Linked DNA regions of Anolis sagrei. The protein of the gene in region 1 purifies or fractionates together with the protein of each later gene. This does not show direct contact. Links are inferred from orthologs where the notes say so. Each region holds a gene or a part of one and is shown in the gene's direction. Other genes may lie near its edges.

The links. Proteins that work in one complex are often made in the same cells at the same time.
Region 2: the proteins of PTGFRN (region 1) and CD9 purify together in Homo sapiens (co-immunoprecipitation; 8 studies listed by BioGRID and IntAct, with this or other methods). This does not show direct contact. The link is inferred for Anolis sagrei from reciprocal best matches to the Homo sapiens genes PTGFRN and CD9.

What each region holds. Positions count from the first base shown.
Region 1 is NC_090023.1:52,387,336-52,395,076, forward strand, and holds the start of PTGFRN (prostaglandin F2 receptor negative regulator), read left to right. Parts: upstream 1-4,444; 5' UTR 4,445-4,730; coding exon 4,731-4,785; intron 4,786-7,741. UniProt on the Homo sapiens protein: Inhibits the binding of prostaglandin F2-alpha (PGF2-alpha) to its specific FP receptor, by decreasing the receptor number rather than the affinity constant. Functional coupling with the prostaglandin F2-alpha receptor seems to occur.
Region 2 is NC_090025.1:103,253,078-103,261,161, reverse strand, and holds the start of CD9 (CD9 antigen), read left to right. Parts: upstream 1-4,835; 5' UTR 4,836-4,958; coding exon 4,959-5,024; intron 5,025-8,084. UniProt on the Homo sapiens protein: Integral membrane protein associated with integrins, which regulates different processes, such as sperm-egg fusion, platelet activation and aggregation, and cell adhesion.

The sequences.
Region 1 (7,741 bases):
CTAAACTGGGCTCTGCAGGCCAATGGATACTCCACCTCAGACATCAGAAAAGCTGCAAGACCGAGAACAAGCCACGAGAGTAAAGACGAAGATCCACTCAGAGGAAAAGTGTTCTTGCCATATATCAAGGGAACCACTGATTCCATAGGGAAGCTGATGAGGAAACACAACATGCAAACTATCTACAAGAGGGATCCTCTCACCTCTGCAGGAGTCTACCATATACCATGCAGCTGTGGACAAGTCTACATAGGGACCACCAAATGCAGTGTCACCCAAACATGAATCAAGGAACATGAAAGGCACTGCAGACTACTTCAACCAGAGAAGTCTGTCATAGCAGAGCACCTGCTGAACCAACCTGGACACAGCATATTATTTGAGAACACAGAAATGCTGGACCACTCTAACAACCACCATGTCAGGCTACACAGAGAAGCCATTGAAATCCACAAGCATGTGGACAATTTCAACAGAAAGGAAGAAACCATGAAAATGAACAAAATCTGGCTACCAGTACTAAAAAATCTCTAAAAAGTATCACAGTAAATAAAGAACAAAACTCAAACACAGAGGAACTCCATCCAGGAAACAATCAGGAACACCTGGTCACCTCTCAACAAAAGATTCTCCCAGGCAGTAACAAGCCACACCTAAAAACTTTTAGGCCATCAAATGTTAATCAGGATAGCCAATTGAAACATTCACACCTATCTCCAACAGACAAGAGTTCTTTCTCCCACCCTGGACTTTCCACAGATATATAAACCCAATTTTCCAGTTTCCATCAAACCTCACAACCTCTGAGGATGCTTGCCATAGATGCAGGAAAAACGTCAGGAGAGAATGCTTCTAGAATATGGCCATACAACCCAAAAAAACCTACAACAACCCAGCATAGCCTTCATTTAAAAGCACAACACTGGCAGAGTAAAAACGCACTACGGTTTAGCAGAGATATGGGATAGCTTGGTAATTTAAAAACAAAGTAGGCAGAGTTAAAGCTTACTTAATGATTGATCACAGCACTGCCTTTTAGCTTGCAAAGGAATACACATTCAGTATGCCAGAAAACAAAGACTCCACCATCAATTGCTTGATGTAACTTTAAGAGATTACCCACGAAACTTGTGCAAAAGGGATCACACAGGTACAGCATAATTTCATTGTAGATAATTAAAAAAGGTATAATCCACAGCTAGATAGTGCAAGGATAGATTTCGCCTCTGGTGGCATAGTGAATTAAAGCGCTGAGCTGCTGAACTTGCTTACCGAAAGGTCACAAGTTCGAATCTGGGGAGCGGCATGAGCTCCTGCTGTTAGCCCCAGCTTCTGCCAACCTAGCAGTTCGAAAATATGCAAATGTGAGTAGATCAATAGGTACCGCTCCGGCAGGAGGGTAACAGCACACCATGCAGTCATGCTGGCCACATGACCTTGGAGATGTCTATGGACAACGTCAGCTCTTCTGCTTAGAAATGGAGATGAACACCAACCCCCAGAATCGGACACGGCTAGACTTAATGTCAGGGGGAAATCTTTACCTTTACCCTAGATATCTCTAGCTTGTGCATAGGCTTAACAAAGGATCAGGCCACACACATGCAAGCTATAGCACTTGAAGGGACGATGGTCAGTCTTCTTCTGAGTGGACCCGAACATCTTTTTCAGACAAAGAAGCACCTCTCATTTTTTGACTTCAAAGAACTGCCTCAGTAAATAATAAATAAATAAATAAGTATTGTCGAAGGCTTTCATGGCCAGAATCACTGGGTTGTTGTAGGTTTTTTCGGGCTGTATGGCCATGGTCTAGAGGCATTCTCTCCTGACGTTTCGCCTGCACTTTGGCAAGCATCCTCAGAGGTAGTGAGGTCTGTTGGAACTGGGTAAAAGGGTTTATATATCTGTGGAATGACCAGGGTGAGACAAAGGACTCTTCTCTGCTGGAGCTAGATGTGAATGTTTCAACTGACCACCTTGATTAGCATACAATGGCCTGACTGCGCCTGGGGCAAACTTTTGTTGAGAGGTAATTAGATGTCCCTGCCTGCTTCCTCTCTGTTGTTGTGCTGTTGCAATTTTAGAGTTTTTTAATACTGGTAGCCAGATTTTGTTCATTTTCATGGTTTCCTCCTTTCTGTTGAAATTGTCCACATGCTTGTGGATTTCAATGGCTTCTCTGTGTAGTCTGACATGGTGGTTGTTGGTGTGGTCCCGCATTTCTGTGTTCTCAAATAATATGCTGTGTCCAGGCTGGTTCATCAGGTGCTCTGCTATGGCTGACTTCTCTGGTTGAAGTAGTCAGCAGTGCCTTTCATGTTCCTTGATTGGTGTTTGGGCAATGCTGCGTTTGGTGGTCCCTATGTAGACTTGTCCACAGCTGCAAATAAATAAGTGACATTCAGCGTGGCCACTTTCGAGAAAGTCCCCGAAGCCCACGCAATGCTAATTGGGGGTATCATAAAACTGACAGGGAAGGAAGTGAGGTAAGCCAGAAACATGGAGACAAGAGAACCATTTCAGTGTGCACGCAAGATTGTCAGTTTCCCAACAAATGGGGTTGGTGAGCCTCCTCAGCTTTTCCCAAAAACAACGCCAGATGCAGCGGCAGCGAGAAGAAAGGCGGTCCCAGTCTGGTCACGAGGAGCGGGAACTCCCTCCGCTGCCACTTGCTCTGGCAGCAGGCTCGTAGCCAGGATTTTGTTTTGGGGGGAGCTGAGTTTGATTGGGGGGGGGGGGCTAAGTCTGAGTGAAAGAGGGTCTACCTTATGTATCGTTGCCCCAATACCCCCCTTGCATATGAGATATATTGAGCATGGTGATCAGATCATGATATGAATAAACATAACAGTTTAAATAATGCACCAGTAAGGCCTTCTCGCGGACCACCCTGAGAATTTCGGGGGGGGGGGGGGCTTGGGGGGCTTCAGCTACATGCCTATCTGGCAGGGCTTCCTTCCCAGAGGTTGACAGTTGGAGGCTGGGCAGGCGGTGGGAGGGTTGGAGAGAGAAGCCTGACACGAGGGAAGAAGCTACAAACATCCCTTTTGGGGAGCGAAATGGGACTGGCTGCCCTGAAAGCAACTTGGGGCGCACCCACCAAGTCTGAATGCATTTCAAGTGTCACTGAAAGGAGATTCCACCTGAGCATCAGGAAGAACTTCCTGACTGTGGGAGCCGTTCAGCAGTGGAACTCTCTGCCCCGGAGTGTGGTGGAGGCTCCTTTGCCTCTGCTTTTAAGCAGAGGCTGGATGGCCATCTGTCTGGGGTGCTTTGAATGAGATTTTCCCGCTTCTTGAAAGGGGGTTGGACTAGATGGCCCACGAGGTCTCTTCCAGCTCTATGATTCTGGAGTTGTAGTTGGGTGAGGCAGAGAAAGCCCTTGTCAAACGACACCTCTCCTGATTCTATAGCACTGAGTCCCGGCACGGTGTGACAATGAAAGCGGTGCCAGGCTGTATGAATGTGTAAGACGCAGGCCCGTAGCCAGGATTTCGATTCGGGGGGGGGGGGGGGGCTGAGTCTGAGTGAAAGAGGGTCTGCCCTAGCAAACCTTTTGTATCGTTACCCCAATAGCCCCATGCAGGCATGTAGCGGGGGGGGGGGGGGGGGGCTCGGGGGGCTTCAGCCCCCCCCCCCGAAATTCTCATGGTGGTTCGCGAAAAGGCCTTCCTGGTGCATTATTTAAACTGTTATGTTTATTCATATCATGATCTGATCACCATACTCAATATATCCCATATGCATGGGGGTATTGGGGTAACGATACAAAAGGTTTGCTAGGCTAGACCCTCTTTCACTCAGACTCAGCCCCCCCCCCCCGAAACTCAGCTACCCCCCCCGAACCCCCCCCCCCTGATTTTTTTTAGCCCCCCCCCCCCCCCGAAACGAAATCCTGGCTACGGGCCTGACCCCATGAATATGGGATATATTGAGCATGGTGATCAGATCATGATATGAATAAACATAACAGTTTAAATAATACACCAGTAAGGCCTTTTCGCGGACCACCATGAGAATTTCGGGGGGGGGGGGGCTGAAGCCCCTCAAGCTCTTCCCCCCCGCTACATGCCTGGTAAGACTCCTTAGAAACCTCTGGCGCCCGAGGCATTCGAACAAGAGAGGGCGTCAAACTGGACTAATTTCGCCCTCCTTAGAAACCTCTGGCGCCTGAAGCGCTCAAACAAGGGAGGCGAGGCACGCGAGCGGGACTTGGCTGCCCAGCTTTCGACGCTTCCCGCGCTTTCCTTCCCCGCCCGATAGCTTTCCTCCCCGGTCCTTTCTGTGCGGAGGAGGGAGAGAGAGAGCGAGGAAGTCTCCCTTTCCCTCCCAGGCTCGAGTTGGGAGCCCCTCTGCCCTCCTTGCGAGTCTTCCCCTCCGTCCTGCCCTTTAAGGGGCCGCCCTCTCCTGGGCACCTATGGGAGGGGTCTGGGGGCGGGGCGAAGGGGAATTCGCCCTCTGTGGTTGGCTGGCTGCTGAAGAGGGGGGCGGTTCCCTTCCTCCCGGCGCTCAGGACCAGGCAGCGGCAGAAGCAGCAACAGCATCAGGCAGGCGGAGGGAGGCTTTGCTGGTCTTCCTGGCGCTGCTGCTGCTGCTGGCTTTGGCGTGGCGGCCCCGCCTTCGCTCGGAGCCAGGCAGCGCCGCTGCTGCCCCGCCGACCCTCGCTGGATCTTCCCCCCGCCGCTCAGTCTGGAGGAGGAGGAAGAGGAGGCAGCGACGGCGGCGGCGGGATGGGGCTCCGGGGGGAGAGCGCGCCCATTCTGCTGCTCTTCCTCTTACTCTTTGGTGAGTCTTTGCCTGGAGAGGTCTCTGGGTGGGTGGGCTTTCGGGCTTGGGCTCTGACCCCACTTGGAGGACCGAGGCGAAGGAAAAAGAAACACCACGAAGTTAGGAAGAGGTGCCTTTCCTTCTTTCCTTCCTTCCTTCCTTCTTTCCTTCCTTCCTTCCTCCTTTCTTTCCTTCCTTAAACCCTTTCCTCCTTTTTCTTTCTTTCCTTCCTTCCTTCCTTCTTGCCCTCTTTCCTTCCTTCCATTCTTTCTTTCTTTCCTCCCTCCTTTCTTTCTTTCCATCCTTCCTTCCTTCTTTCATTCTTTCCTTCCTTCCCTCCCTCCTCCCTTCCCTTCCCTTCTTCCTTCCTTCCTTCCTTCCTTCTTTCCTTCCTGCAAGCTATGTTCTTCTTGGAAGCCTGCTCCTCAGCCTTTCATTTTGAAAACATTGGTATTTATTTATATATCTTTCGTGTCAGAAGTGAGTTGAGGGTACAGTTGTAATGTATTTAGAAACACAAACAAAATTGAAAGCTAGGCATTATGCTAAATGCCCTTTGACCAGTAGCTGGCCACTTGGAGTGCCTCTGGGGTTGCTCTAAGGAGGTCCTCCATTGTGCATGTGGCAGGACTCAGACTGCATTGTAATAGGTGGTCTGTGGTTTGCTCTTCTACACACTTGAATGTTGTGCACTCCACTTTGTGGCCCCATTTCTTAAGGTTGGCTCTGCATCTCGTGGTGCCAGAGTGCAGTCTATTATTTATTTATTTATTTATTACTGCACTTATAGACTGCCGTTCTCAGCCCTAGGGCGACTCATGGCGGTGTACAACATATAAAACCAGGTACAATTTACAACATAAGCAATATCACATCAACAGTAAACAACAACACTATCAATAATACAGTTATACTAAATCATTCGCAACGTCTCATCATTGAATCACAATCCAAATCTCGTTATCCATGTTCCGTTCCAGTCGTCATTGCCAATTGTTGCCGCACTTACTCAAACGCCTTCTCAAACAACCACGTCTTTAGTCCCTTGTGGAATGTCATGAGGGAGGGCGCCAGTCTGATGTCCACAGCTCCTTTAGCTCCTTTCTGGTCTTCCACTCTTCTATGTATCCAGGAGGGAGTTTCTCATTCGGTCTCAGCCACTGATTGAGATGCTGGCTTTTATCCTGCCACTTTTGGACTCTTGCTTGCTGAGGTGTTCTTGCGAGTATATCTTTAGTTCTTAGGAAGCTGTTTCTTGATTTAAGACATTAATGTGCTGGTTGATATCTGAACAGAGGATGGGCCAGAGATGTCACTGCCTTGGTCCTTTCATTGCTGGCTGCTACTTCCCAGTGGATGTCAGGTGGTGCGATACCAGCTAAACAGTGTAATTTCTCTAGTGGTGTGGGGCGTAGACATCCTGTGATCATGCAGCATGTCTCATTAAGAGCCACACCCACTGTTTTAAAGGGATGAGATTATTTCACGCTGCGCATGTGTATTCAACAGCAAAGTAGCAAAGTGCAAGGGCAGATGTCTTAACTATATCTAGTTGTGGTCCTCAGGTTGTGCCAGTCAGCTTTCATATGATATTATTTCTAGCACCCACTTTTTTGTTTGATATTCAAGTTGTGCTTCTTAAACCACAGTCCAGAGTGACTCACCATGGGTGACAACCCCACTTCCTGAGGTCTGTTTCCCCAATCCATTCCCAGCTTAAGTGTTTTGAAGTACTGTAGGAGTTACTTGGGGCTCCAGAAAGGCAGAGCGTACTCTTCTCATGCTTGCATAGCACTGGCCAAGGCTGCATCTATATCAGGCATGGGCTGTTAGCCTGGCTGTTAGGAATTGTGGAAGTTGAAGTCCAGAATACCTGGAGGGCCAAAGTTGGCCCATGCCTGATCTCCATTGTTGAATGAGTGCACTTTGACATCACTTGGACTAAAGGCCATGACTGAATGCTATGTAGTCTGGTGAGGTACCAGCACTCTTTCCCAGCGAAGGCTTAAAATCTTGTGAAAGTCCCATGATTCCATAGCATTCAGTATTCAAAGTGGTGTCAAACTGCATTCATTCTACAGTGTAAATGCACCCTTAGCCTCAGATGGAGTTCCTGGGAGAAATAACACACACACACAGACACCCACCCACACACACACACACACACATGGGGACTGAGGATACTCTAATTTAAGTTCTTCCCTTTGTGCCTTTTATTTTGCATGCTGTTTCCAAAACTGAAGAATGCTGAAGAATTCAGGGTCTGAGTTGTTTTGATTTCAGACTGCATTAAATTTATAGTGCAAATATATCCTATGTCAAGGGTTAGGGGAGATCCCCACACATATTGCATGTGTTTCTAAATAGCAGATGTTGTCCTGTACTATGACAAAACTTGAGACCTGTTAACCTCATGTTGAGGGTGGCATTGCTATTCCGAAAGTTATGCAGGCAGGTTCGGGTCTCTGAAAAAGGCAAGCCTAGAAGAGAAGGGACCTCCGTTGTAGTCCAGTTTAACTCCTTGCCATTGAAGAGGTAGTGAAGCTGTGTGGATTTTTTTTCAGCCTTGGAGCCACACAAGGTCTGTTTTTCCAGCTCACTTGGCAGCCCTGGATCAGGAATCCTTAGCCTGACTTCTTGTAGGAATGTTGCCTTCTCTCGCCCTCTCCCAGGTTGAGGTGTGAAGCTATTTAATGATTGCGAACTTTGCAGCCGAAAGTGTGAGTGCTTTAATGCTTTGGAAAAGCGTCTGCTTTCATTGTTCATGCTCAGTGCTTTGACTAAAGCCTCCCCCGGTTTCTGCCAGTGCGTTTTATTTTATCCTTTGCTTTGGGAAGTTGCTCTGTCAGTGTCTCCAGCAGTTGTTTTCACTTCATCGTTCTTTCTGTGATATCTACATTAATGGAAACATAAGCTTCTTCTAGAATCCGCCAATGTAGCATTTTTAAACCTCTGGTAAAAAACAGCTGATTTT
Region 2 (8,084 bases), on another chromosome or scaffold:
ATTTTGTTTACACAATCTGTCAGGGCTTTAATTGTGCTTCTTTTTAGACCTGGGTGATGGCTGGAGTTTTTATGTATGTATCTCAGTGTGCATAGGTTTTCTGTAAACTGTGTGGCACAATTGTTGATTTGATTTGTGTAGGAGCCCCCAGTGGCACAGTGGGTTAAAGCGCTGAGCTGCTGAGCTTGTTGACCGAAAGGTCGCAGGTTCGAATCCGGGAAGCAGCATCAAATCCACTATCAGCCCCAGCTTCTGCGAACCTAGCAGTTGGAAAACATGCAAATGTGAGTAGATCAATAGGTACCGCTCCGGCAGTAAGATAACGGCACCCCATGCAGTCATGCTGGCCACATGACCTTGAAGGTGTCTATGGACAATGCCGGCTCTTCGGCTTAGAAATGGAGATGAGCACCACACCCCAGAGTTGGACATGACTGGACTTCATGTCAGGGGAAAACCTTTACCTTTACCTAGGATATCTAGAATTTTTTTCCTTCATTTTCTTTTTCCATGGCAAATTAGATGTTTGGGTGGATGCTGTTGATGTGGTGCAGTAATGGACTGGATGATGGCAAACAAATTGAAACTTAATCCAAATAAGACAGAGGTGCTCCTGGTCAGTCAGAAAGCAGATTAAGAAATAGGGATCCAGCCTGTGCTAGATGGGGTCACACTGCTCCTGAAGGTACGTGTTCGCAGTTTGGGGGTCCTCTTGGACTTGGCACTGAACCTGGAGGCCCAGGTGATGGAGGTGGCCAGGAGGGCCTTTGCACAATGAGAACTTGTGCATCAACTGCGCCTGTTCCTTGGGAAGCAAGGTCTGGCCACAGTGGCACACACCTTTGTTGCATCTCGTTTGGATTACTGCAATGCACTCTACATGGGGCTGCCTCTGAAAAGTGCTCAGAAACTTCAGCTGGTCCAAAGAGCTGCAGCCAGATTGCTAACTGGTGCTGGCTATAGGGAGTGGACAACCCCCTGTTGCAGCAGCTTCTCTGGCTGCCAGTCTGTTTCCGGGCACAATTGAAAGTGTTGGTTATGACCTTTAAAGCCCTAGATCAGGGGTCCCCAAACTACGGCCCGCGGGCCACTTCCGGCCCGCCAAGGGCCCTGATCCGGCCCGCGGAGGAGGAGCGCCCCCCCCCCCCACACAGTGCCCCTCCTTTGGCTGGCTCACGCTATCTGTTAGGCCCGATGGACAGCGCGAGCCAGCCAAGGGAGGCTGCTCCGCATGGTCTACTCGCGCGTAAAGCACCTCGCGAGGTGCTTTACGCGCAAGTAGACCACGCGGAGCAGCCTCCCTTGGCAGGCTCACGTTGTCCATCGGGCCTGATGGAAAGCCTGAGCCAGCCAAGGGAGGCTGCTCCGCGTGGTCTACTTGCGTGTAAAGCACCTCGCGAGGTGCTTTACTCGCAAGTAAGCCGCGCGGGCCTGCTCCTCCCTTGGCAGGCTCGCGCTGTGCATCGGGCCTGAGCCAGGCAAGGGAGCCTGAGCCAGCCAAGGGAGGCTGCTCCGCGTGGTCTACTTGCGCGTAAAGCACCTCGCGAGGCGCTTTACACGCAAGTAGACCACGCAGAGCAGCCTCCCTTACTCGCAAGTAAGCCGCGCGGGCCTGCTCCTCCCTTGGCAGGCCCGATGGACAGCGTGAGCCAGCCAAGGGAGGCTGCTCCGCGTGGTCTACTTGCGCGTAAAGCACCTCGCGAGGTGCTTTACTCGCAAGTAAGCCGCGCGGGCCTGCTCCTCCCTTGGCAGGCTCACGCTGTCCAAGGGAGGCTGCCCTGGTGCTCCATGCAGTCATGCTGGCCACATGACCTTGGAGGTGTCTACAGACAACGCTGGCTCTTCGACTTAGAAATCCAGATGAGCACCACACCCCAGAGTCAGACACGACTGGACTTCATGTCAGAGGAAAACCTTTAACCAGGAAAATCTTGGAAGATCCAGGGTGGGAGAAAGAACTCTTGTCTGTTGGAGGTAGGTATGAATGTTTCAATTGGCCACCTTGATTGCCATTTCATAGCCTGACAGTTTTTAGGGAGAATCCTTTGTTGAGAGGTGATTAGCTGGCCCTGATTGTTTCTTGTCTGGAGTTCCCCTGTGTTTGAGTATTGTTATTTATTTACAGTTATAATTTTAGATTTTGTTCAGACTGGAAATAGGAAGATTTCCCATTCTCTTCTCCTGGAATTGCTGTCTAAAGAGGGCTAGAAAGAACCCCCTCTAAGGGTCCTTCCACACAGCAAAATAAGATATGTGCAATGTGCATAGGAATTTTTTAATTGATTTTTTTTAAAAAACTATAGTCCGGCCCTCCATCGGTCTGAGGGACAGTAAACTGGCCCCCGGTTTAAAAAGTTTGAGGACCCCTGCCCTAGATGGTCCAAGTTTAGGTATTTGACTGACCACATCTCCTTGTGTGAACCTGCCCAGTCCTTGAGATCTTCAGGAGAGGCCCTTCTCTTGGTCCTACCTCCATCTCAAGCACAGTCGGTGGGAACGAGAGAGCAGGCCTTTTTTCTCAGTGGCTGTCCTTCAACTCTGGAACCCCTGCCCAGGGAAGCCAAAATGGCCCCTTCTCTTCTGTTCCTTCCAGCGGCAGACTAAAACCTTTTTATTCAGGCAGGCTTTTAAATATGAAGGTGTTTAAGGCAGGGGGTGCTGTGGATTTATATGCTTTTATGGTTTTAACTTCAATTGGTTTTAATATGAATTATGCTTAATATTATTTTCATATTTGTATATTGTATATTTTAAGTTGTATCGTAATACTTTTAATTGTGAGCCACTTTGAGTCTCCATATGAAGAGAAAAGGTAAGATATAAGTAAACATAACATGCTGCCTAAAAAACTCACAGCAACCCGGCATTATTTTCATTAAGGAAAATTACAAACTCAGGGCCTAGAGACTGGTGGAAATAATAGTACTCCCCTCAGCCACAGAAAATGAAGTTTCTGGAGTATAACAACTACTTTCAAAGTAAGTACCGCACAATTTAACAAGAAATAACACTTTCAAAGCAGGTGAAAGCTTCTCTGGGACCAAAGGGAAAAGCAGTCTTTCTGGAGCCCAGCAAACAGTCCCAGTGTAAGTGGGAGGGGAGGGGAAAGAGAGAGAGGGAAGAAGAGGGAAAGAGAGGAAAAAAGAGAGGGGGAGAAGGGGAGAGACAGAAGAGTGAGTGAGGGGGAGGGGGTCAGAGAGAGAGAACAGAGGGAGGGAGGGAGGAGAGAGAAAAGGAGGGGGAGAGAGATGAGAGAGGAAGAGAGGGAGGGGTGAGAGAGAGGGGGAGGGAAGGAAGGAAGGGGAGAGTGAGGAGGGGAGAGGGAAGAAGAAGGGGAGAGGGAAGGGTGAGAGAGGGAGGGGTAGAGGGAAGAAAGAAGAGAAGGAAGGGGAGAGAGAAGAAGAGAGGGGGAGAGTGAGGTGCTAGAGAGAGGAGGGGAGTGGAAGAAGAGAGAGGGGGAGATGGAGAAAGAAGGGAGAGGGAGGGGTGAGAGAAGGAAGGGTAGAGGGAAGAAAGAAGAGAAGGAAGGGGAGGGAGAAGAAGAGAGAGGGAGAGTGAGAGAGGAGGGAGGGAGGGGGAGTGGAAGAAGAGAGAGAGGGAGAGAGAAAAAGAGAGGGGGGTGAGGGGCCAGAGAGGAGGGAAGAAGGGAGAGGGAGGGGGAGAGAGGGGGGAATGGGAAAAGAGAGGGAGGGAGATAAAGAAGGGGAGAGGGAGGGGGAGAGAGAGGGGGGAGTAGGAAAGAGAGAGAGAGAGATAGCAGGGGGAGAGAAGAGAGGGAGGGGGGAGAGACAGAAGAGAGGTGGAGTGAGAGGGTCAGGGAGAAAGAGAGAATAGAGAGGGGAGAGGGAAGTGGGAGGGATGGGAAAAGGGAGAGAGAGGGAGGGAGGGGAGAGAAAAGGAGGGGAGAGGGAAGAGAGTGGGAGAGAGTAAAGGGCCAGAGAGATGAGGGAGTAAGGGGCGAGAGAGAGGAGGGAGCGAAGGAGGGGGAGAGGGAGGAGGGGAGAGGGAGGGAGAAAGGGACAAAGAAGGGGAGAGGGAGGGGTAGAGGGAAGAAAGAAGAGAAGGAAGGGGAGATAGAAGAAGAGAGGGGGAGAGTGAGGTCCCAGAGAGGAGGGAGGGGGTGAGAGAGAGGGAAGAAGAGAGAGACATGGAGAAAAAAGGGGAGAGGGAGGGGGTGAGAGGGGGGTAGAGGGAAGAAAGAAGAGAAGGAAGGGGGAGAGAAAAAGGGGCAGAGAGAGAGGGGAAGAAGGGAGAGGGAGGGGGGAGAGAGGGGGGAGTGGGAAAAGAGAGGGAGGGAGTTAAAGAAGGGGAGAGAGGGGGGAGAGGGGGAGTGGGCAAAGAGAGAGAGGGAGATAGAAGGGGAGAGGGAGGGGGAGAGAAGAGAGGGGGAAGACAGAAGAGAGAGGGAGGGAGGGGGTCAGGGAGAAAGAGAAAATAGGGGGAGAGGGAGGGGAGGGAGGGATGGGAAAAGTGAGAGAGAGGGAGGGGAGAGAGAGAAGAGAGGGAGGGGAGAGAAGAGAGGGAGGGAGAATAAAGGGCCAGAGAGATAGAGGGGGAGAAGAGAGGGGGGGAGAGGCAGAAAGAAGGAGAGAGAGAAGAAGAGAGGGGGAGAGAAGAGAGGGAGGTGTAGAGGGAAGAAAGAAGAGAAGGAAGGGGGGAGAGGGGAAGAGTGAGGAGGAGGAGAGGAAGAAAGAAGAGAGGGAAGAGTGGGGAGAGAACAGAGAGAGAGGGAGAGATGAGGGAAGGGCGAGAGCGGGGCCCGCAGGCCTGGCGTGACGCCGGCGAGGGCGGGCGGAGGAGCCCAGGGAGCGGCCCTGGGGGCCGGGGTGGAGCCCGCGACGAGCCGGTCTGAGGAGTGGCCCTAGGGAGCGCCTTTCCCTGCCGGGGCTGCTCAGACGCGCCTCCCGCCTCGCCACGCAGAGAAGCACCGCCGCTCCCGCTGCCTTCGAGTCGCCGCCATGCCCGTCAAGGGGGGCACCAAGTGCATCAAGTACCTGCTCTTCGGCTTCAACTTCGTCTTCTGGGTGAGTCCCCAGCACTGAGAGCAGGCTCGCCTCAGCCGCCGCTCACCTGGGCAAAGAAACTCTCCCCTCCCCTCCCCCGCCCGGTCGAAAACCGAGCGCGAGCCCCTTCTCCGAACCCTTCCGAAGCGTTCCGAGTGAGGCTTTTTTTCCCCTCCTTTCCGAAGAGGCATTTGCTAGGGAACTCTAAATGCAGAAGGAACTTTAGCGCGCGCGCTCTCCACCGAGTAGAAGCCGCCCTGGTTGGCTTCTTTGAGGCAAAAAAAGCAAGAAAGCCCCGGATGGTGGGCACGCGGACCCCCCCCCCCCTTCTTCTCCCTTCCCAACCTCCCAGGTGCCTGGCTCCTTGGAAGGTGAAGCCACAGTAGTGCGTTCCCATCAAAATACTGTAATACTCCAATAATAATAGTTGGTAGAGACCCCATGGGCCATCTAATCCAACTCCTTGCCATGCAGGATAAGCACAAAGTACTCCTGACAGATGGCCATCCAGCCTCTTTAAAAAAAAAAAAAACCTCTAAAATCAGGACAGTAAATAAAGAGCAACACTCCAAAAGCAGGGGAATTCCAGACAAGAATCAATCATAGCCAGCTAACACCTCCCAATAAAGGATTCCACCAAGCAGCAACCAGCCAGGCTTTGAAGCTGCAATGCCATTAAAAGTAGTCAGTTACAACATTCACACCTGCCTCAAACAGACAAGCGTTCTTTCTCCCACTCTGGATATTCCACAGATATATAAACACAGATATGGAGCCCCCAAGATGCAGTGGGTTAAAGCGCTGAGCTTGTTGACTGAAAGGTCGCAGGTTCGAATCTGGGGAGCGGCGTGAGCTTCCGCTGTCAGCCCCGGCTTCTGCCAACCTAGCAGTTCGAAAACATGCAAATGTGAGTAGATCAATAGGTACTGCTCCAGCGGGAAGGTAACAGCGTTCCATGCAGTCATGCCGGCCACATGACCTTGGAGGTGTCTATGGACAACGCTGGCTCTTCAGCTTAGAATGGAGATGAGCACCACACATGAGCTTCCACTGTCAGCCCTAGCTTCTGCCAACCTAGCAGTTCGGAAACATGCAAATGTGAGTAGATCAATAGGTACCACTCCGGCGGGAAGGTAACGGCATTCCATGCAGTCATGCCAGCCACATGACCTTGGAGGTGTCTACAGACAACGCTGGCTCTTCAGCTTAGAAATGGAGATGAGCACCACACCCCAGAGTTGGAGACCACTGGACTTCATGTCAGGGGGAAACCTTTACCTTTACTATAAACCCCACTTGCCTAGTTTAGACCTCACAACCTCTGAGGATGCCTGCCATAGATGTAGGTGAAATGTCAGGAAAGAATGTTTCCAGAACATGGCCGTACAGCCCAGAAAACTCACAGTAACTCATCCAGCCTCTGTTTAAAAGCTTCCAAGTAAGGAGCCTCCACTATACTCCGAGGCAGAGAGTTCCACTGTTGAACAGCTTTTCCAGGGCCTTTCCACACAGCCATATAATCCAGACTATCAAGTCAGATAATCCACAATATCTATTTTGCACTGGATTGTCTTTGTCTTATGTTTGTTATAACAGGCTGTGCTTTTTATTTAATTTTAGTTTGTTAAGTTACAATTCGCATTAATATGTTGGGTTGTATAAATTTTGTTATTATGGATGTATTGTTGTTGTATTTAGGCATTGAATGTTTGCCTTTTATGTTTGGAATCTGCCCTGAGTCCCTCTGGGGAGACAGAGCAGAGTATAAATAAAGTTTTGTTATATTACTAGCCATCTCCTGCCACGTGTTGCTGTGGCCCAATCTGGTGATCTCAAAAATAAAGTAATGAGAAAGTGTTGATTTCTAATATATGTAATTTCTTTTTGCTTGTGGGTAAACAGTATTACTTGCTGTTTCTTTGTCAGTGTTGATGTGGAGAGTGTCTGGTTTGCCCACCCTGGAACATGGAACATATTATTGTCCTTTAGGGATCCCTTTCAAATCTATGATATTATATCTGTCATATACATATATATGTGTATGTGTGTGTGAATCAAATATACCTATCTATATCTATGGCTAGATGGTTCTTTGTCAAGAGGGCTTTGATTATGTTTTCTTGTCCTGGTGAAGGGTGTTGGACTGGATGGTCTTAAGGCAGTATATCTCAATTTGGGGGTCACAAGGGGGGTGTTATAGGGATGAGGTCTGTCTACAGTGAAATAGAGTGGGACTGTGACTTTCCTCGGTCTAGACACTATATTCCTGTTGATGTATCCTAGAAGCATATTGGCTTTTTTAGCTGCCACATCTTTCTATTGCAATGTTTCTCAACCTGGGGGTCAGGACCCCTGGAAGGGTTGCGAGGGGGCATCAGAGGGGTCACCAAAGACCATCAGAAAACACAGTATTTTCTGTTGTTCACGGGGGTTCTGTGTGCCAGGTTTGGCCCAATGCTATCGTTGGTGGAGTTCAGAATACTCTTTGATTGTAGGTGAACTATAAATCCCAGTAACTACAACTCCCAAATGTCAAGGTCTATTTTCCCCTAACTCCATCTGTGTTCACATTTGGGCATATGGAGAATTTGTGCCAAGTTTGGTCCAGATCCATCACTGTTTGACTCCACAGTGCTCTCTGGATGTAGGTGAACTACAACTCCCAAACTCAAGGTCAATGCCCACCAAACCCTTGTAGTATTTTCTGTTGGTCATGGGAGTCCTGTGTGCCACGTTTGGTTCAATTCCATCATTGGTGGAGTTCAGAATGCTCTTTGATTGTAGGTGAACTATAAATCCCAGCAACTATAACTCCCAGATGTCAAAATCAGTTTTTTTAGTGATGGTCACTCCTTGGGTTATTAGGTGTCTTGTGTCCAAATTTGGCGGCAATTTGTCCAGCGGTTTTTGAGTTATGTTAGTCCCACAAACAAACATTACATTGTTATTTATATAGATGATGATGATGATGATGATGATGATGATGATGATTATTATTATTATCTGCCATATAGTCCAATTCAATGCCACCTTCTGGACACCTTCCAGCTTGTCTATATCTCTTTTGAACTGTGGTGCCCA